Rattus norvegicus: one gene and its partners. The protein of the gene in region 1 purifies or fractionates together with the protein of each later gene. This does not show direct contact. Links are inferred from orthologs where the notes say so. Each region holds a gene or a part of one and is shown in the gene's direction. Other genes may lie near its edges.

Evidence for each region.
Region 2: the proteins of Slc22a15 (region 1) and Vapb purify together in Homo sapiens (co-immunoprecipitation; 3 studies listed by BioGRID and IntAct, with this or other methods). This does not show direct contact. The link is inferred for Rattus norvegicus from reciprocal best matches to the Homo sapiens genes SLC22A15 and VAPB.
Region 3: the proteins of Slc22a15 (region 1) and Vapa purify together in Homo sapiens (co-immunoprecipitation; 3 studies listed by BioGRID and IntAct, with this or other methods). This does not show direct contact. The link is inferred for Rattus norvegicus from reciprocal best matches to the Homo sapiens genes SLC22A15 and VAPA.

Annotation. Positions count from the first base shown.
Region 1 is NC_086020.1:191,985,765-191,993,356, reverse strand, and holds the end of Slc22a15 (solute carrier family 22 member 15), read left to right. Parts: intron 1-790; coding exon 791-911; intron 912-2,393; coding exon 2,394-2,466; intron 2,467-3,902; coding exon 3,903-4,091; intron 4,092-4,391; coding exon 4,392-4,484; 3' UTR 4,485-5,948; downstream 5,949-7,592. UniProt on the Homo sapiens protein: Organic zwitterion/cation transporter with apparent specificity for amino acids and their derivatives. Has low affinity for its substrates and may regulate their flux across the plasma membrane at high substrate concentrations.
Region 2 is NC_086021.1:182,972,098-182,979,689, forward strand, and holds part of Vapb (vesicle-associated membrane protein-associated protein B), read left to right. Parts: intron 1-3,731; coding exon 3,732-3,884; intron 3,885-7,592. UniProt on the Homo sapiens protein: Endoplasmic reticulum (ER)-anchored protein that mediates the formation of contact sites between the ER and endosomes via interaction with FFAT motif-containing proteins such as STARD3 or WDR44.
Region 3 is NC_086027.1:112,649,985-112,658,159, reverse strand, and holds the start of Vapa (vesicle-associated membrane protein-associated protein A), read left to right. Parts: upstream 1-3,428; 5' UTR 3,429-3,659; coding exon 3,660-3,738; intron 3,739-3,937; exon of another isoform or gene 3,938-4,134; intron 4,135-6,316; exon of another isoform or gene 6,317-6,526; coding exon of another isoform or gene 6,527-6,551; intron 6,552-8,175. UniProt on the Homo sapiens protein: Endoplasmic reticulum (ER)-anchored protein that mediates the formation of contact sites between the ER and endosomes via interaction with FFAT motif-containing proteins such as STARD3 or WDR44.

The DNA of each region.
Region 1 (7,592 bases):
GCATAGAATACCTTGAAATACACTCTTGCAAACAAGACGGAAAGTGGGTAACAAGAGAGCGCCCGAGGCATGCTGGTCGGTGGGCTGGGAGGAAGAGGCAGCGGTTATACGGAGGAGCAGCGGGAGGAGCAGCATCACTGAGATATTAAGGGAAGAGGGGCTCATGAGCTGTGTGGTCCCAAGGAGGGGACAAGGTCTTCTGCTTGGCATAAGTGTCACTAAGAGAGGCAATTACATCTGAGATTGGGACAGTGCTGCTGGCCCTTGGGGACTTTGAGGAGAGGCAGGGAGTCAGCTGGGTGCTGGGAGTTGGAGAGGAAGATCAGTGGCAAGGCTGATGGTAACTGTAGGAGGCACAGAAAGCTTGAGACCTGTTTTCTCCTCACAAGGAGAAAGTTGCTATTTAGAAGGCAGAGGTGTGTGGATTTTTGAAGGAAGAGATTCACTGGAGACAGATAACAACTATAGAGACCCAGAAAATAAAAGAAAGAACCACCGGATACTATTTTACTAAGAATGTGAAACTAGAATGCATTTATATTTTATTTAAACAGAATAAGAAATTCAAATCTAATTATCAGTTAATAACCCAAGCAAGAAATGGAGAAAAAACAAGTTTTTTTCCAAATTTCTTTCACCTTTTGTTCTCTTCAGAACATCGTCATATCTTCTTTCAAAAATGTCATGGGCCTATCTCTCACCACAGTGGAACACTTTGGTATTTTGAGCATTTGGTTTTGAATGGTCCACAAAGCCCGTAGACTTCACTCGTGTTGTCTCTGCTCCTCAGACACAGGTGTGTTTGCCGTGGTCAACAGCCATTCCTTGTCCCTGCTGGGAAAGCTGACCATCAGCGCTGCCTTCAACATTGTTTACATCTACACCTCTGAGCTGTACCCCACTGTCATCCGGTAAGGCTCTCTCCTGCTGCCGTACCCCATTCATGCCGTCCAGCTTTGTTAACGGTGCTGCTGTGGACGGAGATGGCCTTCCCTGCCTTTGCGTGGGCATGTGTCGCTCATGAGAGCATTCAATCTCCCATTGTCTTAGGCACTGTTCTATTGCTGTGAGCGATACCACAACCAAGACAACTCTTATGAAAGAAAGCATTTACGTGGAGGCTTGCTTACAGTTTCTGAGAGTCAGTTGTTTTAGAGGGGAAGTGAGTGGAGACTTATATAAGAAAGAACATCTTCAATCCTAATAGCCCTTCATGAGGACAAGGGCAAACCCAGATTCAGGATGGGGCTGCAGCCTCAGCTCTGCTTCCTGTGCCCTGGGCTGGTCCTCCCTGTGCCAGTCCTATGCCAGTCTCCCTAAAGAGCATTTGGAAAACCTCTGTTTCTTCAAGCAGGAGGCCTCCGAGTGCTTTCCACCTGTTGAAGTCTTTTCCCAGAAACAGCTTGCTCTGCTGGTGTCTCCTCATCCTTGTTTCTGCAACATGGGTGCCACACCGTCCATCCACACACACAGGAACGCCTTCCCATGCCAACAGAAAGGCTGAGGCAGAAGTGGAGGGCTAGCCTATCTGGAAACGGCGCCATTCTCTGATCCCTGGCTTGTTGTTCTGGGTTACCTGACAGTGTGCACACATCATTTCTATTAACATGCCTGGCTTTTAACACTTAGCTGAGTTTTTAAAAAAGTCAAAGATTTTGGCTCACAAAACCTTGGTTGTAGCTCTCTTAACTGACAGAAGAACTAAAGCTCACTCCTTCCATGAGACACACTCAGATGCTCAATCTGTTCATCTTCTGACCCATACGGCTATTGCTATCCTCATGAGACTTAAATTAATTAAAATTACAGACACTGGAGATGGTTAAGAGCACTGACTGCTCTTGAAGATGACCCAGACTCAATCCCCATCACCCACATAGCAGCTCACAACTACCTGAAAATTCAGCCCCAGGGGATCCAACACCTTTCTAACTGCAGCAGTCCCAGGCATGGCCATGATGCACATACATATAGTCAAAGCATTCATATACATAAAAATAAATACATTTTTTAAAAGTCTGTCACTGCTGAGTATGATGGCCCATATCTTCAGTTTGAAGAACTTGGGGGGAAGACAAGAGGATTGGCACAGTTCAAGACCAGCCAGGGCCAGCATAGCAAGACCTTGTTCTTAAAATAAAAGTTCCTTTCCTTATCCTCATGAGTCACATTCAAGTGATGAAAAGCCTCATGTGTCCAGTGCTGTGGCACAGGGTGATGTCATTTCAGAACTCCTTGGCCTCATAGAAAGGTCTAATGGGGCACTGTACCTTCTCCTTAGGAATTTACTATGTTGGATTCGGAATAGTCTTCCTACCCAGTATTAAAGTTGTCCCCCTGAGACTTAATGATTGTATTTATTTAATTAACTTGGTTTCTCTCCTGCCTTCTAGAAACGTTGGCCTCGGAACGTGCTCCATGTTCTCCCGAGTCGGTGGGATCATTGCTCCCTTCGTCCCCTCTCTGGTTGGTTTGTACCTCCTGTCTCTGTTCTTGGTCCTCTGCTTTGGCGACCATTTGTGCTTTGTGTAGAAAGAGATAATGAGTGATTTCGGCCAAGAGTGGCTACACAAATGCCAAGCTTGTGCCTTTCTGACACAGAGCGCCGTACTCTGTCAGGGTGGATGGACTGGGGCATTCACCCCTGGTGCATCTGACGTTTTGTTCACCTGGACTCATTGGAGGGTTTGGTGATGCCAGCATTCCCCCTCCCATCAACACTCAGAAGTCAACTAATGTGTATGATCTATGGAGTACTGGGTTCTATGCTAAGTACTTTGCACATATTACTGCATGTAACCCTCCATAGTCGCTGTAAGGGACCATAGATGTCTTAACTGGTAGACAATTATAAAATCAGGCATGAGACCTTGAGCTGTCATGACGTGTGGCAGCCATGATATTGTATTCTGAGGGTCAGTATGGCCCTTCATTATTCATTGTCCTCTGGAAGGGTCCGGGACATTTCCACATGTACACCAACAAAAACACCAAATCCTAGAACGTTTATAAAGGAGACTGAAGAGAAGGCTCGATGGTTTAGAACACACCTGTTGTTTCAAAGAAACCAAGTTTGATCCCTGGAACTGTGTCAGGCAGCCCTTGACCTCCTATAACTTCAGGGCCTCCATCACTGCCGTGGGCACCAGCACATCCGTGCACACACATGTACACAGTTAAAAATCCTGAAATAGTCTTTAGAGTATTATGTCATGAGGTATCTTATTATATAATAAAATATCATTATGTTATTACTTCTACTATGGTTTCAACACTGCCTTTAAGGACTTTTCTAGAGGATCTTGAAAAGAAATATTCTAAACGCTAGAGCCAGCTCACTGTGGTCGGGAGCCTGTGCATTGAAAGAAATCATCGACTTTCTCTGAGAATTCCCTGTGAATCTCTGAAGCAATTCCTGGTAGCACCACATTCAACTCAAATAGTTTACAAACTCTGTGTGCCACAGACCTTTTTCTTTGGATTTCTGTTCTTTTGATCTTAGGACTCTCAATGATGTCATGACAACACATCTGACCACTGCAAAGTTTATTAGCAGTAGATAGTCCATAGTTCATATGAAGAGAATGTGAAGACCAGTGTGGAGCAGACTCTGCCCTCAGGTGGAAGCCGGACTTGAGAGTTCCTAGGAGCTCTGCTGATGTGAGCCTGTCAGGCTCACAGGTGACCATGGCCATGCCTTGCCTCACACGGTTGGTCCAAGGCTTTGGCTCACTCTGTATACCCGTTTCCTGGATGGTTGTCTCAGAGCAAAGAAAACGCAGTGTGTGGTGTTCTTGTGAGAAGGGGCTGACCATACAGCAAACCTGGCAGTTCTTGGTCACAGGACTGTTGATGTCACCTGCTGAGGGGCTGATAGATTTGTTTGGCTTTTGTCTCCACAGAAGGACGTGCAGTGGTCCCTGCCCTTCATCGTGTTTGGAGCCACAGGCCTGACCTCAGGCCTCCTGAGCCTGCTCTTGCCAGAGACTCTGAACAGTCCTTTGCTGGAGACATTCTCTGATCTTCAAATGTACTCATATCGGCGGTTAGGGGAGGAAGCGCTGTCTCTACAGACCTTGGATCCTCCACAGGTAAACAGACATATGCTGTAACCATCTAGGTGCCCTGGGCTTTGATCCTCAGAACGATCTAAGACTGGGAGTTGTGGTGCACCCCTGTAAATCCAGCACTTGGGAGGTGGAGGCAGGAAGTTCTGAGGTTGATCTCAGCTCCTTAGCAGATTGAAGGCTGACTTGGTCTGCCTGGGCCCCTGTCTCAAAACAACAGTGAAATCACTCTTTGAGTGCCTGGGTGGTAATTCTCATTTGGACCTGTCGTGATGTCATTTTGCACATTTTACGGCTTCTACAAGATCTCCTTTGCCATTGCAGCCCCTGGGCAAGGCCAGCAGCTTGGGGAGCGAGAGTGAGGAAGAGGAGGAAGAGTTCTATGATGCAAATGAGGAGACACAGATGATCAAGTGAAGAGCCCGAATTCCTGCCCAGAAGCAAAGCCCCATCATTCTTAGTGCCTCGTTCAGCTTCAGCACCAGAGACTGCTCAGCCCACACTGATGCTTTCCAGACAGGAGAGGCGGTTGGAGGACAGATTCCACAAGGGAGAACTTGCTGCATGGAGAGTCGTTGTCAGGACTGAGGCTGAGCCCAGCACCGTGCCTCTGGCTGCACAGCTCAGATCCACCTTGTGTCTCATGCTGCTTCCCTTCCTCGGGACCTAAGAGCTGGTGTGCGAAACTGCTCACACTTTTACTAGGGTTAGCCAGACCTTCCCGGGATTTCACCTTCCTAGTAAGCTTCACGGGATCCCTGTCACTTGCTTCTCCCCACCAGGAATCTTCTGGTGCAGGCTGATGTGTACAGAGCTCCCAGCTTCCCCTGGGCTCATCGGCTGGTTCCCAGCTCATTGGTTGCCGGGGCTGCTTGTGCCTTTAGTCTGAGTTCATTCACTGGTGAATTCCAGAATCTGCGGAGCAGTTATCCGTCATCAGAGGACTGGCTGTGGCATGGTAGCTCCCGTTGGCACTTGCGTTGTGCAATTTTCCCAGTTCCCACTTGGAAGCAGTTGGGGAATTGTTTTTTCTTTGTGAGATTCTAGCCATCAGCAATAATTTGAAAATCATGCCCAGCCAACAACGAAACTCTACAGACTGAGGGTGGTCAGCGCGCGATGCACTAAGCACCTGTGAAATGACCTAAGAGTGAAGATTCTCAACAGTGTGCAATGAGGGATTTGCACAGCACACCAGGGTTTGAACTCTGCACTACATCAGCCTCTACTAGTGGGTTATTTTTTTCTTTTAAGAAAATGGTGAGTTTTCATTAAGTGCTTCCATGGATTTCCAAATGAATCAAAATCACACCTAATACCTATTTCTCACAGAACTTGAACACTCTCAAATAGGCATATAAGCCAGAGTCCACGTGTGGTCAATCGGTCACTTCCCGACCAGGGAAGCGGCTGTGTGTTTAGGATTTCTGTGTATGCTAATCTCTGGGGAGTAGAAAGCACACAAATGTTGAGGGAAAGGTGCTCTGTAGATGCTCCTGGAAATTGTGCAAGCCTGCATTCCTTGCCTCCAGTTATGCTCCTGGACTCCTCCATGTTGTCTCGGCTTCTACTGTATCCATCTGCTCCTCTGTTAGGTCATCTTTCCTTTATGCCCTGGCTCATGGGGGAGCTGTTTCTACCACTGTGGAGAACCCTGGCCGGCCAGGATGTGGTGAAGACCCGATAGTGACCCTGTGTCTGTCAGGAAGATGATGGAACTCCCGGCAGCATCTTGTCCCACACTCCGAAGTACGAAGTCCTGCTGCTTTCCTCTCCGGGAAAGGGAGGTCAGCTCTCCTCAGGAGAGGAAGAAAAGGGCTTCCAGAAACTCTTGGTTCTCGTCCAATAAAGTGTCTAAAATAAACCAGTAAATTTATATAATTTTTATTGGTTTGATCTCTCTTTTTGTGTTATAACCTGTAGGATTATTATTTTCAATATATTCTGATGCAAGATTGCTTCCTGCCTCAATGGTTTGTGTTCCCAAATGAAAGACATGCACACACACACACACACACACATGCACACACACACAGACACACACACAGACACACACACAGACATACACATACACGCACACACACATACACACACACACACACACACGCACACACACAGCCTTTATAATTTAATTGCCTTGTGTAGCACAATAGCTGGGCAACTGCTGTTAGAGTCTACTTCCCACTGATGATTCCGAATTACTACTTACTTATTTCTATGCTCCATCTTGGCTGCTCCTGACCCAATTGAGAGCCCTCTGGGCCGCTCTCTCCCAGCCCCTTTACATGGTGGCTCTGCCTCTCTGTCCTGCATTCTCAAGCCTGGCTTCTCTCCTCTTCTTCCTCCTCGAGGCTCCTAGCCCTGGAAACCTAAAACCCCTCTTTCCCTTCTTCCCAACTATTAGCTGCTGGCATCTTTTTTTAACCAATCAGAATTAACTGGGGGCAGGCTCCCAGAAGCTACATGTGGACCCTCTCATGCAAACCATTTTGAGGGATACAATTATCATCAGAATACAAAGAGCTACAATAACCCGTTAGAGAGAATTTGATATTAGAAGTTAGAAAATGTATCCATCAGCCTAGGCACAGAAAAAGCAGAGTTGTGGCTTGTCTTCCCGTGTATCATTCCCTGCCACTGTTGCAGTTCCTGCTGCTGCTGGCTAAGTAAGTGAAGGTCCAGGGAACTCCCAGCTGAGAGGTGGAAGGAGAGACCCAGTGTGAATTATGTGCCATGTAATAAGGCCGGGCTGGCTGTCAGCTGCTCTTGTTGGATAAATTATTACATTTTTCTTCTCCCTGGGTAGTTCTCTAAGCACGGTTTAATAATTATTTCTCTGCCTTTGTAAAGATGGATTTTCTTCCCTATGGCTGTTAGTGAATATTGATGGCACAAAGCCACCGAAATCTTACTTCGTAGGTAGCATATTTGGCTTGTATAGATAGTCTATTAAAAGTGTCTTTAAAGAAACAGTATCTACCTAAAAATACCTATAACACATGGAAATCACCATATAAACAAACACGTGGAGTTTAAATAAGAATTGCCTGCCCCTCTGAGCTGACAACAGTCATAACTAACAGGAAGTCCAACACGAGGCTGAAAACACCTTTCTTGAGTTGTCAGATAGGGTTGTCCAAGAGACCCACAAAACATCATAGGCTATTGCCATTGCCCGTGGTGCCCTCCAGAAATGGAGGGTAAGACCCTGTTGATTGTGTGTGTGTGAGTGTGTGTGTGTGTGTATGATAGATAGACATATGTAACAATAAAATTAAAATTAAAATTAATTAAAAATTAATTAATTATTAATTAATTAATTAGAATTTAATTAATTATTAATTAAATTTAATTTAATTAAAATTAAAAGTGACAAGAAAAATGTAGACAATAGGAAAACTCATGGTTTCAGTCCCAGAGGTCTAATGTAGTCTTCATGCTGCATGATCTGTTCAAAGATACTGTGCTTCAGTTTCAGATGCTGGGTTTAAACTTCGTCCCTTGAAGCATGGCAGCTTGTCTCCT
Region 2 (7,592 bases), on another chromosome or scaffold:
GCCCTCCAAGAACGAGTGGAGGAGTTTATATTCTGTTAGTTATGCTGTTTTATGAGCATCTTTATCCACCGTAATAAATGAGTGCAGGTGCACCCAGCTGTAACAGGGGAAGAAGGAATCCATTCAGCTGTTACATAGAAGGAGAGAATGTTAAACACACTGGGAATCGACTCCAGGTTGGGGTTGCTTCTCTGCACTCATTCTTGCTGGGAGATGTGGAGTTTCTAATTTCACCCAGACATCTGGATCAAGGGACAGAGGACATAGAAGAAGAGAGTAATTAAAGGATGTGATGTGTTCCCACTCTGGAGACACAAATCATTTCTTCCAATCTCTTAAAAGAAAAAAAAAAACAACTTTTGAAGATTTCATTTGTAAAATTGACTGTATTTCATAAGCAATGCTTAAGTTCATTGGTGATAAATATGCATGTTTGTGGGATAAAATCCCATCTTTTACATAACGCTTTAATGGAAATGGCAGTTTTATGAAACGAAAGTGACTGGGAAAAATCTGAACGATGCTCATAAGCCTCCCATCATTTTTATTGAGGTTTTTGTGTGTTCTAATTCATTAGTAGGGGAAAGGCAAGCACTAACATGGTTTATCTCCTGTAATTACTCAAATCGAATTTATTTTCAATAAAATTCTTGAAGTAAATTGCCCAGAGTGGGGCGAAGAGGATTGGCCTGTTTTTGCAAAATGCCTTGATTTTTTTACCCGTGAGACTTTGCTGTTCTACCAGTGATGTCTGCACCGCATATATTTCCAGCATGGCTCCCTCCAGAGTTCTACAAATTAGTGCCCAGACCCAAGGCGGGATGCTAGGGAAGAAATACAGCTTATTTTATCCCACTCACTGTTACCAATATTGTGTGTCTTTTAATAATTTAGGCCATCTTTTATGTGATTCATGTAAATTGAAATACCATTTATATTGCCATAATAGGCAGCCTGGGTAACTCACCACAGTGTGCGCAGTCAGTGGAGTCTAGCTTATGATTGTAGAATCCCAGAAGATGGGGAAGTCTACAACTGGACTCCCCACCCCAGAAAAGGAGCAGAAGGGGAGACACTGGACACTGGTGGGCATAGTAAGTGTCCTATCTTCTCCATGGTGAGATGTCTGTATGCCACGGTGGGTATGTTATATATCTGATCTGACAGTGTGTCCGTCCATACTCTTGAAGCTCAGCGGCCGTTCTGTATATTTTTCTTCTTCTTTTCTTCTTTTTTTTTTTTTTTCAGATGGGGCTTATCTTTGTATTGTAGATTGACTTAGAATTTGCCGTGTTACAAAAGATGATCTTCAACTTCTGTTCCTGCTTCCACCTTCCCAAATGCAGGAAGATAGGCATGACCCACTGTGCCTGGCCCTTTTGCCATAGACCTATTGATGCTGGCAACGGGCCCTTTCATGAGTGACTTTCTCTCCTCAGAACTCCCTGGCTGCCTGAAAGTCCACACTTGCAGGGCAGGCTTTGGTGTGTTTTATGAAATACAAGCTTGCAAGTTGTACCCATGCAGGCCTGCAGGGCTTACCACTTTCTTTGGCCCTAGGAAAGCAGAGCTGTTTTTAGCTCTCTTTTTATAGCCTGTGCTTACTGAAGTGATCCCCACCTTAAGTAAAGGGGTATCAGCCTTTCCATCTTGCCATGAGTCAGCCTACATGCAGTGTAGGTGGGATAGGGTAGAATTCCCGAGAGCTGCTACCCCAGGCGCCCCTGGACAATCTCATCGCCCAGTGTCTCATTTCTCTCTGGAGGCCAAGAACTTGTTGCCTCCAGCATCTAGCACTCCCTCCCTGTGGCTGCAAACCCTTTGGCCACAGTCTAGCTGTCTCCCATGCTTTCCCAGCTGGGGGAGGGGTTGGTTTGCAGTGGAATCAGTTCTAGATGCAGCTACATTCTGGATCCTTCAGGAAGTCCTCTCTCCTGGCCTCAGCCTGGTTCCTAGAGGACCAGAGCCAGGCTTCTTGAAAGATAGGTAGCTGGAGGAGACCCCCTCCAGGTGTTCAAATGTCCACAGTGCTGTCCCTGGTATGAGAAGAGCTTCTGGATAAATGATTGCCCAATGCTGGGTGATGTGGCCATCTTACCACATGTCCTGCAGTGCATGCGTGCATCCCTGCGGGCAGAGAGAGGCAGCCACAGGCCCAGTAGGGAGGGTGGAGTAGCAGGTACCTATCACCGAGTTGCCCCTACCCCCAGTTCCTGCATGGAGATGGCACCAGGCTTCCATTTCGAGGTTGTATGTATGACTAGTGACCACTGTGCGAAGGAGCCAAGCTGAGCAGCCATGTTGGGAGTGCTCGTGTTTGGCACAGTGAGGTTGCAGGCACAGACTGTCTGGGGTCCTTACGGATAAGATTGTGCATTGGCAAACGTGGGGATTGTCTTACGCTCATTGTCCCCGGTGTGCACATCTGTTCTGTGTGGACCACTCAGTGCTTCCCTGGAGCTCTACTGGGTGCCATGGGCTTCCTTCCCCTCAGCCACCATTTGTGTTTAAGCTAAGCTTTAATTCAGTGGATATTTCATACTCTGAGTACCTCAGAGGAAGCCTGCCTGAGGCACTCATTTTTCTAGAAATGACTGGTGAGTGGCTTTTTTTTTCTTGGTGCAAGTGTCTGGAGACCTTTACTGAGTCCAGACACAGGGCTGGGGGCTCAGATGGACAAAGGATAATCCTGCCCTCGGCAGCCGAGAGTCACTCACTGCAAGCATTTAGAACACACCATCGAGTGTCTGTTGGGTCTTCTGAGATGTGACAGGTGAGCTGTAGATATTCTTTGTAACCACGGAAACAGAGTCCCCCTCCCCTGCTTGCTTGTAGCTCTGAAGGCGGAGGGGAGGGGAAAGCCTGCCTATCGGAAACAAAGGTGGGCCACTCCTGTTGACAGTAGGTGAACATGAAGTGGTGTGGGCCTGGGCATGTAGCTCAGAGACTGGGTCTGTGCACAGGTCCCCGGGTTAGCTCCATAGCTACACACAGTCGTCAGCGTACACACGCATGCACACATGATGAGAGAAAGCGGTCTTGCAGTTCACCTTTCCCCAGTTGACTCCTAAGAGGCTCAGTGATTAGATGTCCACTTGCTCCGGTGTAGATGAGTGGATGTGAGACAGTTGTGTGGTGTGTACCCTTGTGCATTGCTACTAAGTCTAGCTGGTTAGACAAGCTCCACATGGTTAATATTAGTTACCTCAGGCACAAGGGAAATCTTATTAACTTCTCTTTATACATCTTTCACTGTTTGTTTTAAGAAGCATGTTTTTACTTTTTAATTAAAAAAATCTAATAAAGCAGGAAATGAATACATAATAGTGATGAAACAGCCCAGGGCCATGGAACGAGACTCCATGGGGCACGGAACGTGGCTCCAGGCTTCTTGGGTACCTTGGTGCTTAGAGCTGCTAGCAGGGCTCTGAATGAAGTCGGCTGCCCTTGCAGACACACTGGTAGGAGTTTTCCTGTCTACAGAATCGCATCCTCCCAGAGTCTACCTGACACCTGACACTCTGCCCTTCATAGTCACTGGGGATCCATGCCTGGTCCTTTGTACAGTTTCTGCCGGATTCCACTGTGGTTCTGTGGAAGCAAGTGTTGATCATGAGTGACTGTTGTAGGATTCATTGTGTCTAGGTCCTTTCACTTCTCAGAGGTCTCCTGTCTTCCTGAGCTCCTACTTTCCTCACAGGACACCAACCATTTTCTGTCTCTCCACGTAGGTCCCTTCACTGATGTTGTCACTACCAACCTAAAGCTGGGCAACCCGACAGACCGGAACGTGTGTTTCAAAGTGAAGACCACAGCGCCGCGCAGGTACTGCGTGCGGCCCAACAGTGGGGTCATTGATGCCGGGGCCTCTCTCAATGTGTCTGGTAAGTCCCAAACCGAGAGGTCATGGGTGGGGTCCAGAAGCCCCAGAGCCATCGAGCCTGGTCAGAATGGGTAGTCCAGGGTAGTCCAGGAAGCTACAGATTTCTCTCCTCCTGTCCTGTCTCACCTCGGGTACCACACTGGGTACCTGATCACCTCTGACTTTCCGTAATTCATGTCTCCAGGCCTCTGTACCTTAGTAGCCAGTGCAGAATTAAGTGGCGGCTGTAGATCTGGCTGGAGAGCAGGGCCTTCGTTCCTTTGGAACTAAGTTTGCACCTCGACAAATCAGAGGGACTGAATAACAAGTCTGCTTTGTGGGGAATGCTGATAGCATTGTTTTCTTAATACTAAATGCTTTCTGATGTTGCTCATGCCATCTAGTAACTGGGGGTCTACTTTGCCCCCTGAAAGCTGAGGAGGTAGGGCTGCAAAGGTGCCAGGCAAGCCGTGGGCCCTGTTTGTGCTGACGCCCCCCTCTCTAGGAGGCTGCATACATTTTTCCAAGGCTGCACTGCTGAAAAGATGCTGCTAAATCCAGATTAAGACATGCGATTGAGAACTAAGGAAGTCTGAGAGACATTAGGGTTTGCATGTATCTAGAAACTGGTGGACTTGTAGCTCATTAGAACTGGTGAGTAATGCTCAGAGGAGCTGTGGGGGAGTGCGTGTCCTTTAGACACTGATGACTCAGTGTCCCTGGCTTCGGCATCATTAGAGGCCACTTCTTGTTTGAAGCGAGTGCCTGTCTGCGTCTTTCCACGGTGGAGTTTGATTGGATACATTTGGATTCATTTGACACCTAAAAGAAAATGATTCACCTCTTTGGAAAGATACAAGGTGTTTCATTATCTCAGACTCTGACTCCTCGCCTCTGTTGGTGCCTCTCATTATGGAGCACCTGCCCCAGCTCCCCCTGTGTGCTTCTCTCTGAGTCTGCAAGGCCGGGCCTGGACTCGTGAGTCAGATTTTAGGTCAGGAGCAGTTAGCTGGTAGCCAGTCCTGTAGAAGAGCTCCTACTGCCGGGCCCCTTGTTGTACGCTGTGCAGGACACATTGTCCCACCTATTTTGTGTCCATTTTCAATCACGGAGTGGTGTGTGACAGCCTGTACTCTGGGTCTGGCCTGCTGGGAATAGGGAGTGGTCAGGATGCAGTAGCTGATTCCTCTGAGTGCCGTAAGATTTTTGCTGAGATGAGGGCAGCTGGATTCTTATACCCTGACCCCCTTTGTGTGGGGCCAGAGGGCCTTGTGTTGAGCTGTCTAAGCCGCCTTCTTTCTTTAACCACCATCTGCCAGTCTCTATTGTTTACACATTTCAGAAAATTTGAGTTTATTAGCAGATGAAAATCACCAATTTTCATATGAATCAGGCAGCCTGGTTATCTGAATAAAATAATCTGAGCAGGTAGTTGTGTAGTGTAGGTGTGCCTTCTCATGAATGTTACAGATGATATGTGGCTTGAGTATGTGTGCATGTGTGTGTGCCTGAGTGCCAGTGTGTGTGCATGTGTGTGTCTGCCTGTGTGTGCATTTGTGTATCTTTCATTAGGATCAAGTCCTTTCCTGCCACAGGAGTGTTCTGACTGATCAGTGGCTCCTTGTCGAAGGCAGCTTTTGTGTTGAGTCTTCCCTCTGCAGATTAGAAAATAAAGAGCCAGTATGGACGTGCTCCTTCCCTGTCACATGGTCTTTATCATGTGACCATCAGCCATTTGCGTTAGAGGCAGATATTCTTTTGTGGTTCTGTGCTGCTGCCTCGCCAGTCAGGGGTTGGCTGCCTGAGAATGAGTCTGAAGTGCAGTGCATCACAGGGTCGTGGAGACAGGAGGAATGACTGAATAAAGAATGTTTTTGTAGCTTTCCCCTGCTGAGGTGGGAAGGCACGTGGGAAGAATTGCTGTGGAGGCCCTGTCTGTTGGTGGTGGTCTAGTGGGACCAGGAGAGTGGTACAGCCCGTTCAGTCTTGGGTGTACAAATGTCACACTTTACACGTGTACATGTCAGGTTGGGAAGCACTGTGTCTGTCCAGGCCTGTTCCTTGAGGAATGCCACTATGGGGGTGACAACATGGTGAGCCAGAGTCCCCGAAGAGGACAGGTACACAGGAGAACACCGTCCTCAGTATGCTCACTCCCACTTACGGCTCTCGGAGCCGTTAGGAAACCTAAGTGTGAGTGATCGCCTGTGCACACTCTGCTGTTGCCACTGTACATGCACAAAGCCAGCCAGTCCTGAGTGGGAACAAGCTGTGTACTGTTTGCATTGCCTTAAAAAAAGCAAAGGAATTCTATGCATTTTTACATGTGTGGCCTCTGTGACCTAAAGCAGGTGTGTGTATGAGTAAATTGTCACATGTAATTTACAAAATGTTGACCATCAAATGAACTTGAACTGCATTTGCATGGTTCTGCTTAGAACCTGCAGTGTCACAGGATACCTGGAAAGGACAGGGCTAGTGTGTCCCTGCATTTCTGAAGACCCCTGGGAGGTGCTAGCTATTAGATGAGGCTATAAATCACTCCTATAAGAGGCTGGGGGAGGAAGGGAAAGAGCAGGAGTGAGGAGGTGGGAGTGAGGGGCTGGAGTAGGGGGTGGGGCTGGCCCTTGAAAGGCATTGTCTTTTGCACTGCATCGTGGCTGTGCAGGCCTGGGTAGGGTTCCCCACCACACCGTGCAGTGCTTTGCTTACCTTCCCAGTGAACCTGACGCTGGGGGCCTAAGTCACACTTCAGCAGCTCAGCCTCTGACCTGTGCTGCTTCCTTCAGAGGACAGCAAGTGCCGAGCTGGGCCTGCACCGTGGCTCTGCACCGTGGCAGCACAGACATGTGGAGATGAACCTGCAGGGAGAAAGGAGACTTCCCAGAGGACATGAGGAGGGGCGAGCCTCTGCTTTCATCACTCCTGGGGGTCTGGGGCAGCCCTCTAGCTTTACAGAACTAAGTAGCTTTCAAACCGTATGGTAGGGAAATATTTTTTTAAGGCGTGCAATTTCTGAAGATGTCTTCATAGAAGGCTGTTAGCCATGGCGGGTCTTGTTTTTAATGATGCAGTTTAATAATAAGGGACTTCTCCATTAATATTCCAAACCATGTTGGCTTGCACGCACAGCAGGTGAAGAGGGAGAATTATGGGCCCATCAAAAATACTTAGGCTTCCTGTAATATGGCATTAAGTTTAGTATTTGTATAACCTCTGTGAATTCTAATCCCACGAAGTGGTGAGCTTTCATTTGCAGTTCAGTTGTGCTCACTGACTGTCCCTGTGCCAAATGCATTACACATGCAGAGTGTCCACAGGACCCGGGCAGTCATTAAAGACACCAAGTATCCACAAACGGTTCACTTTACTCAGTGTGCCCTGCCATCAAAGGTGGATTAAAGCCAAACGTAGGTCTCCCAGTATCTGAGCCTGTGTTTTGAAGTGGAATTCGGAGCAGAGGGGGCACTCTGGTTCCTGACAATCCCTTCAGGACTCTAATTATATTTAGATAGTAAGTTCTTCCAATGTCGTGCTGAGGATAGGGTGAGTATCAGCAGCCCGTGGGATGGAGACACTGGTCAGTTAACGTAAGTGGTAGTATTGTAATTGATAATTAATCCGTTTACAACGGCTCTGGCCTGGGTGCACGTTACTGTTCCCTGGCACTGGACCAGGCAGCTGTGGGCTGCAGCGTTCAGGTGTTGAGCCTCAGGGTACAAGTGTACTT
Region 3 (8,175 bases), on another chromosome or scaffold:
ATACATAGAATGTAAAACTGGGCAATGCTCCCCTTCCTGGTTTGGCTCTAATATTGACTTAATGCCTCACCTGTTTTCTTTTCCATATCTAGAACAACAAAAGTTAGCTCTTGCCAGCTGCTGTAAAGTTCAACAGGGTGTGGTGTCTGTAGAGGTCTTTGTACTACAAGAAACAGTTTAATAAAAACCAAGGCACAAGTCACAAAAACAGTGTGCTAGTTTATGAGGGGCAGATGATTCAGGGGCAGTATTGACGTCCTAATCCTAACAGGAAGATGAATCCTGACAAGTTGAATGCGTTTAGACTATTCGTCATTTAAATTCTTATGGTAGCTCTTCTTCCTTCCTTCCTTTCTTTCTTTCCTTCCTTCTTTCCTCCTCCTCCTCCTTCTGACATAAGGTCTCACTATGGAAAGGTGGATGCCTTAAAGCTATGTTGGCCCACCCTTTATGCCACCACCATCATGCCTGGCTTGTTATAATTCATATATGGTCAAACACACACACACACACACACACACACACACACACACACACACACACATATCCTGTTAATTTTTTTTAGTGACACTAAGAAGCATTTGATTTCAGTGGTAAATAATGTAAATAGGGAAAAAGTTTCTGTAACTCACCCAGTTCAGGGTTCACATGGTGAGTGGACAATCACAGTCTCATGTTGCTGGGAATTTCTACATGCTCTCCTATTGACTGGCTGTTGGCACACTGAGGATGCCTATGCTTTCTAGTAAGAGGTGTTTAACCAGCTGTGAAGTGGTTGTTTAGCTATGGAGCCTGTCCATAGAACAGTTCTTAGGCAAACATGATATTGGAGTTTGTCAGGACTCTTGGATTTTCAATTCAGAATGAAATAGATGTGCGACACTATCCTATGGACTGGTTATCATACACATTTTTTTTAAAAAATAAAACCCACAAGCTATCTTTCAAACTGTATATACTTTTGTATTCTAAAAATTGACATTTCAAAATAATTTTTGCGGACAAAAAGAATTCAAAGTATAAGTAAATTAGCATTTGCTTTTAAAACAATTTAAGCACTTCTATCTTACCAGGTTCTTCATGACTGAAGATCTATGCCTTACGTTTGGCACTGGATGGTGGTGGGGTAGGAGTGTAGACCCTCAAGTTCTTAAACTGTGGGTTTTGTGTAACTGACTGTGGGGGTTTGGAAAAGTTTGACAACAGCAAAAGGTTTCTGAATGTGCAACAATCAAATAGAAATCAAAATCGAATGAGTAGTGCAATCGGATTTGTGTAGGAGTTCATCCATGTTGGACTGTGGGTTATCACTTCAGCCTTGGTTCTGAACACGTCATGTGCACTTTGTTCTGTGTATGTAATCTTTGAAACGCCTTGGCCCAGATGTGAGATTTCTGTCTTATGAATTGCAGTGGTTTTTTTTTTTTAAATTGTAGTTTTCTAGTCTTGTAAAAGCAAAGATTATTTTTAATTATGTATACTTAAGGGTCTGTGCACCTGAGCGCAAGTGCCCCCAGGAGGCCAGAGGCATTGGCTGTTCCTGGAGTTGGGAGTTACAGGCAGATGAGAGCAGTCTGCTGTGGGTGCTGCCAAAGTCTTCTGCAAGAGCATCGTGTACTTTCAACTGCTCAGCCATCCTTTCTGCTCCTAGATTTCTACTCTTAAAAGACATAGTAGCTTAAGGAAAAAATATAATATTTTCCTATTATTGCTTCTTAGCACGTGTCAAATTTATACATTTTTGGATTGTATTGTTAGAATCTTTGATTTTAAAAATTGCAGTTTGGGTTACTGACTTGCATTTCATTAAAAAAAAATCACACAAAAAATTTGGCTGGTGATTGGGATAGAATTTCCAACTATTTTTGAAATGTTTCCAAACCTAACTTTTTTTTTTTTTTTTGCCACTTTGCACTAGGTATTTATATAAAACCGATTCTCAGCATTGGTAATTAGAAAATCAAAATAGCAATCAACTACAAAAAAGTTGAAAATGTTTAGTCTATCAAATATTCAGCCAGGAATAATTTTTATGTAGGAATGGACACGCAAACCTATCTCGTTTGTATACAAGCTAGCTTTTGTCTTAAATGTGTAAGTTTTTTCATCTTTTTTTCTTTCAAACTTCATTTTTAGGTTAGGATACAAAGTAAGCATTCAAAGAAGGAAAACAAACTTTTTTTTGTGATCAATGTTTTATACCACAATTTTATATCCTATATACCCAGGGTGGCATAAAAATTTCTCAGGTGACGGGACGGAGAGTTGAAAAAGTTTAATTAGCTGTATTCTAGACTGCCCATTTTCGACATTTACTTTCCAGACAGTCTAGGATGCCTTTCCGTGGCAGAAGCATCAATACGTGCTTTGTTTCGCACGGAGCTTCCTAGAGATTTAAATTCAAGCAGTACCATAGGACACAATAAAGGTTTATTTTTACAGCACATCCATTTGTTTTGTTTGCTCTTCCCGTCCCTGGATACCCTGGCAATGAGCTGAATATCTGTCAGCAATTTGCTTGGCAATTTTTCTCATTTGGTATAGGCTCTCCTAAGTGATGCAGATAAAATTCGTCCCTAGCACGGCACGAGAACCAGGCAAACAGATTTGGAATGAGCCACACTGTAGATACAGCACGTGAATTCCACGCCGTAGGAGCAGACATTTGGTTTCTACCCTTGATTATTTGTGCCTGGCCTAGATTTCCCCTGGAACCCGTTTGCTTTTGCGCGAGGTGTGTTTCCCTTTGCTGGGCAGGAGGGAGATCCGGGAGGCAGCTTTGGAACGGCAGGGTTAGAACAGAGCGCGCGTCCGCAGAGGGCGGAAGGAATCCCGGGCAGACCAGACGGACACGCCCTGCCGCTTTCCCAAAGGGCCGTCTCTCCTGGGATGCCTGGCTCCCAGGCAGCCTGCAAAAACCCTTTTCTTTTTCCAATGCAGACGAGACAACCTCGGCGAGCCAAAAGCAGAGTCAGCGGCCCCACCCACTCGCCTCCAACGGACCCGGGTTGCCTTCCCGGTTCCCAGCAGCCCCCGCGGAGACGCCGCCCGCACGGGGCATGCTGGGAGTCGAGGTACCCGGCACTTCTTGACTGTCTTCCGTTCGGAATTCCACTTGGAACGCTGTGAGGTAGCATCGTAGTCGGCGCTACAGCCCCGCATTCGCAGCTCCAGGGCGCCAAGAACGACGCCCCTCGCCCGGCGCCGCGCACCCCGTCTCCCACAAACAGCCCTACTACGCCCCCTGCACGCTCTACAGAGATTGACAGCAGCGCGGCGCAGGGAGCTGCGGCCAAGTCGGAGGTGCGCAGGCGCACTAGCTCAGCGCCGAGCCCAGTTAGGCCCGGAGGGCGGGGCCAACACGAGGGCTCTGGGCCGCGGGGGCGCGCACGGAGACACGTAAGGCCGTCACGTGGGGAGCCGAGGATCGCAGTGCGCGTGGCCGCGGCGACTGGTGTGGGGTTGAGTCAGTTGTGACACCCGGAGCTGCTGACCCGACAGGCAGCCCTCGGGACCCGCGGCCCGGCAGCAGGCGCGGAGCTTCGGGAATCGTGAGCCTGGCCCCGTCCTAGAGCTCCGCGGAGCCGGCGCCGCCACCGTCCCCCGCCCCCGCCAGCGAACCGCCGCCGCGGGCGCGCCCCCGCTCTGCGCTGTCTCCTATGGCGTCCGCCTCCGGGGCCATGGCGAAGCACGAGCAGATCCTGGTCCTCGACCCTCCTTCAGACCTCAAATTCAAAGGTAGGCTGGCTGGGACGCGCCCGAGCGGGGCTGGGGCCGGCGGGCGGCGGCGGGGTGGACGGGCTGCGCTCCCCTCCCCCACGCCCGGACCGAACGTCGGAGCCGCGGCTCCGCTGCGTCCCTCCGCTCGGCGCCTCGGCGTCCGCCGCTGCCGGGCCGGGCTGCGGAGGGGAGGGGAGGGAGCCGGACGGACGCCGCGGAGGGCTCTGCCCGGAGCCGCCGCCATCTTGCGGCCCACGGGGGCGCCGCGGGAGCCCGCCCGCGCCTTGCCCGCCCGCCCGCATGGCGTCCTTGCCCCAGGGCGGCCGCGGCGCGGTCCAGGCTGTGCGAGCCGGAGGCTGGGAGCAAGAGCTCCGGGGTCTGCGGGCGCCAGCGGGCGACGTTCCGCGCCTTTGGGTAGGCACGGCCCGCGGGCGAGGCGCTCAAGACCGCGGGCTTCGCCCGGAGTCTTCCCTGTCAGGTGCCGGACTCTGTCAAGCCGGGAGACCCAGCAGTGTCTGGCTGGGACTGACCCCGAGTGTTGGCACGGCCCCAAGCGCGCGGCAGAAAGCTGTGCGTCAGCTGGGGCATGCATGGTCGTAGGTTAATGGGAGTGGGTCCCTTGGGTCACGTCGACTCGTCCTTAGGTACGGAGGACCCAGCCCTTGTGCTCCTAGTCCTTGAGTTCACACTGTCTTTTTACTGAAGACGACTCAGGGTCTGTGACCCTCTTACGTTTGCGGTTTCCCAGCATACCCGGAGAAAGCTGATAAGGTGCCACACAGCTCTGGAACTGTTGACTTTGGAGCACTGACTGTGATAGACAATCACTGGTTTGGTGATCCTTGTTCAGATCCGAGGCCGTTTGCCTTCTCAGTGTGTAGGAAACGAAAAGTTATACAGAACAGTTTACTGCATTTTAAGGAGCTAAAAAGAACACGTGCTTCCTATCTTTAAATGAAAAGTGCCCCCCTCCCCCTTTGGAAAGTTAATACCTTGCGTTTTAATTTCAGCAACTGGTGAAAACAATTTCCCTTAAGCGCATATCGATTCCAGTAGGAAAAGAAAAAGTAAACCCATTATAGTAGTGTAAAAGTGAGTCCACATGAAAATAGCTGAATTGTCCTTGTAGGAACAATTTAAAATAGTTCCAGATACTTAAGACTTTTATATTTTAAATAGTTTAGGACTTAAACATGTGGTATTCTGCTAGTAGCATGCCCTGCAGGCGTTTCAGTACATTCACAAGTTCCTCCGTACTAGACAAGAACTTGATTGTGATTTTAAGGCAGTTTTAATATGCTTGGAATTGGGTCGTGAACCACACTTATAATCCCGGCATTTTGGAAGTTCAGGAACCACCCAAAGTTTGAAATAAACCTGGACTACATGTGAGACACTTGACAGTGTCTCACCCTCCGGTATTTCGAGTGTATTTTGCTGCAGCAAATTTCTGGTTGCTTGATTTAAGTTTTTTTGGAGGGGAGTTGGGCGGAGTTTGCTGAGAAGTCCTCAGAGTATTTGTACTGTAGTAGCCATCATTAGTGGGAGCGATTTAATATAAATCTTGACGATATTCTGTGTGGTTTGCTTTCCCCCTTTTGACAGTGTAGAGCAAATTTTCCTTACTGCATAGCCATGTGTGAAAGGTATTTTATGAGGCAGGTTTTAAAAACCACCAGAAATTGTGCTGTATTCATGTAGATCACTCATTTTTGATATTAAATAATTACAACCGTGTTTATGCAACAGGCTCTGTGTTACCAAAAATCCCAATGCTGGTGGAAAAGGCATGTAAATGATACCGGGGCAGGAGCACGTCTGAAAGAAGCTCTTTTCTGTAGGAAACTCAAGGAAAAGGCTCTTGAAGTTGCCTGGGGAAAGTCATGCAAAGGGAGTGGTTGAGTAAATCGGAGTGAGATGAGATGCATAGACTCCAGTCGGTCAGACTTGTGGAAAGGTGGGAGAGATGGATATGATAGGGAGAGGTGCAGAGGGTTGAAGTGAGGTTTGCTGCTTTTCTCCTTAGTGTTACTTTGTCAGCCAGAGGTAACTTGGTACAGTGGAAGCCTCTGTATTTCAATGCACAGCTTTACACTAAGTAGGGTGATTTAGAATCCACTGTGCATCTTTTGGTTGACCATATCAAAAATTATTTAACTGATCTTTACATGTCTTTCATTTAAGTATAGGTTGTTTATACATTTCATTTTGCAAAATTACTTGATTGTGTGCAAGGTTTATTTGAATTATTTGGATTCAACAGTGGTTTCTTCAGGAGTGACTCAGCCATTCTGAGATTGACAGTTTTTCTTTAATATGAATAATGACTTGATAAGTGTTATAACTTTGTAGTTTACTTCTCATAACTAGTAATATATATATAAGTCTCTTGATTGTAGAATAAATTCTAAAGCAGACCTTTTAGAGCATAAAAAGATTCATTAAGAAAATTTTTGGTTGCTTAAATTCTAGCAATACTTTAACCAATAATTTAGATTTGAAATTGGATATTTCACAGAAAAAACTTTTTTGTTCCTAACATTTACTATATTATAAAATTTGTTTATTGTTTTGTGTTGCATTTTACTGTTCCTAGCTGTTGACAGTATTGAACTTTGAAGAAGAAAGTTTTGCAAAAAGAGAATTCTAAGTGTGTGCTTGCTCATAATGGTCAGGGGAAAGAGGAAAACTGACTGAAATCCTTGTGTTGAGGTGGCTCTTGTTAGCACCTGAGGACTACAGAGCTGTGCTGCCACTGCCAGCAGTCACACCCCTTCTGAGACTGGGTTCTTTCATCCATCCCAGGATGGCTTTGGACTCCCTGTACAACCGTGAGGATCTTGAATTCATTTTAAAATTTAATTTTTTAAAGAGATTGATTTTCTTTGTGTAAGTCTTTTCCTGTAGGTACATGTGTATACTACTTGGGTCCTGGGTGCTTGTGGAGGCCAGAAGAGGGTGTCAGATCCTTTGGAAACGGAACAGGGGTTACAAATGGTCATTAGCTGCAATGTGGGTTCCTGGAATTGAACCTGGATCCTCAGGAAATGTTCTCAACCACTGAGCCATCTCTTCAACCACTTTTTAAACTAAAGAAAAAAAAATTTTTTTTGACAATTTTACAGACACACAGGGTAACGTGATCATCTCCACTATTTTGTTCTGCTCCACCTGACCCCTGCCTCATGCTTCCCTCCTACCTTTGTGTCTTCATTAAAAGATGAATATTTGTAATTATTTATGTGTGTCTTCATGTGGACATGAGTGTAGGATTCTCTGAAGCTGGGGTCACGGATGGTTGTGAGCTACCTGATGTGGATGCTGGAAGCTGAATTCAGGTCCTCTGAAGTAGCAGCCAGCGCTCTTCCATCTCCTCCGGCTCCCCTACCTTAAAAAGTTGACTCTGGTGTGGGAGCATAAGCAGCCTGCTAGCTGCCACCTCCCTTCCCCTAAAGAAGATTGACTCACCTTTTCTCAATAGTCGTCTGAGATAACCTCGAGCGGGTCTCTTGCATAGGTACCACAGCTGCTGTGAATTCAGAAGTGCAGTGGCCATGCCCCCAGACAACAGCATCTCATAGCACTCTTTTCTCTCCTCCTCCTCTTAGAGTCTCTTTATGTCCTCTTTGATAGTCTCTAAGCCTTGAGGGGAGTGTGGCCAGTTGGGACTGAGCATGCACTGTCACCAATCTTAGCACTTCTGAGTCCTGAATTAGTTACTGCTCATTACAAAAAGAAACTTCTCTGATAAAGGTTCAGAGCAGAACTTACGAATGGGTATAAACGTGTATGTTTAGAAGCAGATCAATAACATGAACATGTTGTAAAACAACAGTGGTCGGTTCTACCTAGGGCCTAAGATCTCCCCAGCAGCGACTGGGCTTTTAACTAGGTTTAAAAGGTATCAGTCCTTCTTGTGGATCAGGTTCCAAATACAATTAGAAACTGATTGGTTACCCCCATATTAGTCATGCCACTATTATATCAGTGGGCGTATCTTGCCTGGTAGGTTGGCATCGTAGCGTGGGGGATCCAAGGTTATCTTTTGATATCTTCTCCTAAGTGGCCTCCATAGCATCTTCCGGTACAATTAAAGATAGTAGGGAGGAAGTTTCTCAATCATTTCCAGATTGGTTCCTCTGTGCTGTGCATGTTATCTAAGACCTTGAGTTTTTGTTCTGCCTTCCTCTTCCCAATGCTGGGATTATAAATAAGCAGCACCATTCCTGAGCATCTTTGAATAGCAGCATTTCATAAGATAAGCACAAGCACTGATGAATACTACAGGTTTTTGGGGGGAGGCAATTTAGGAAATTTTACATGGTTCGAGAAGATGCTCTTATTCCACATAAACATCCAAATTCTGGGATGATCATTTCACAAACTGTCTTAAAATATAATCCTTAGCCAGTTCTTAAAAGGTGTAAGATACCGCCTTGCCCATGGGGTAAGGTT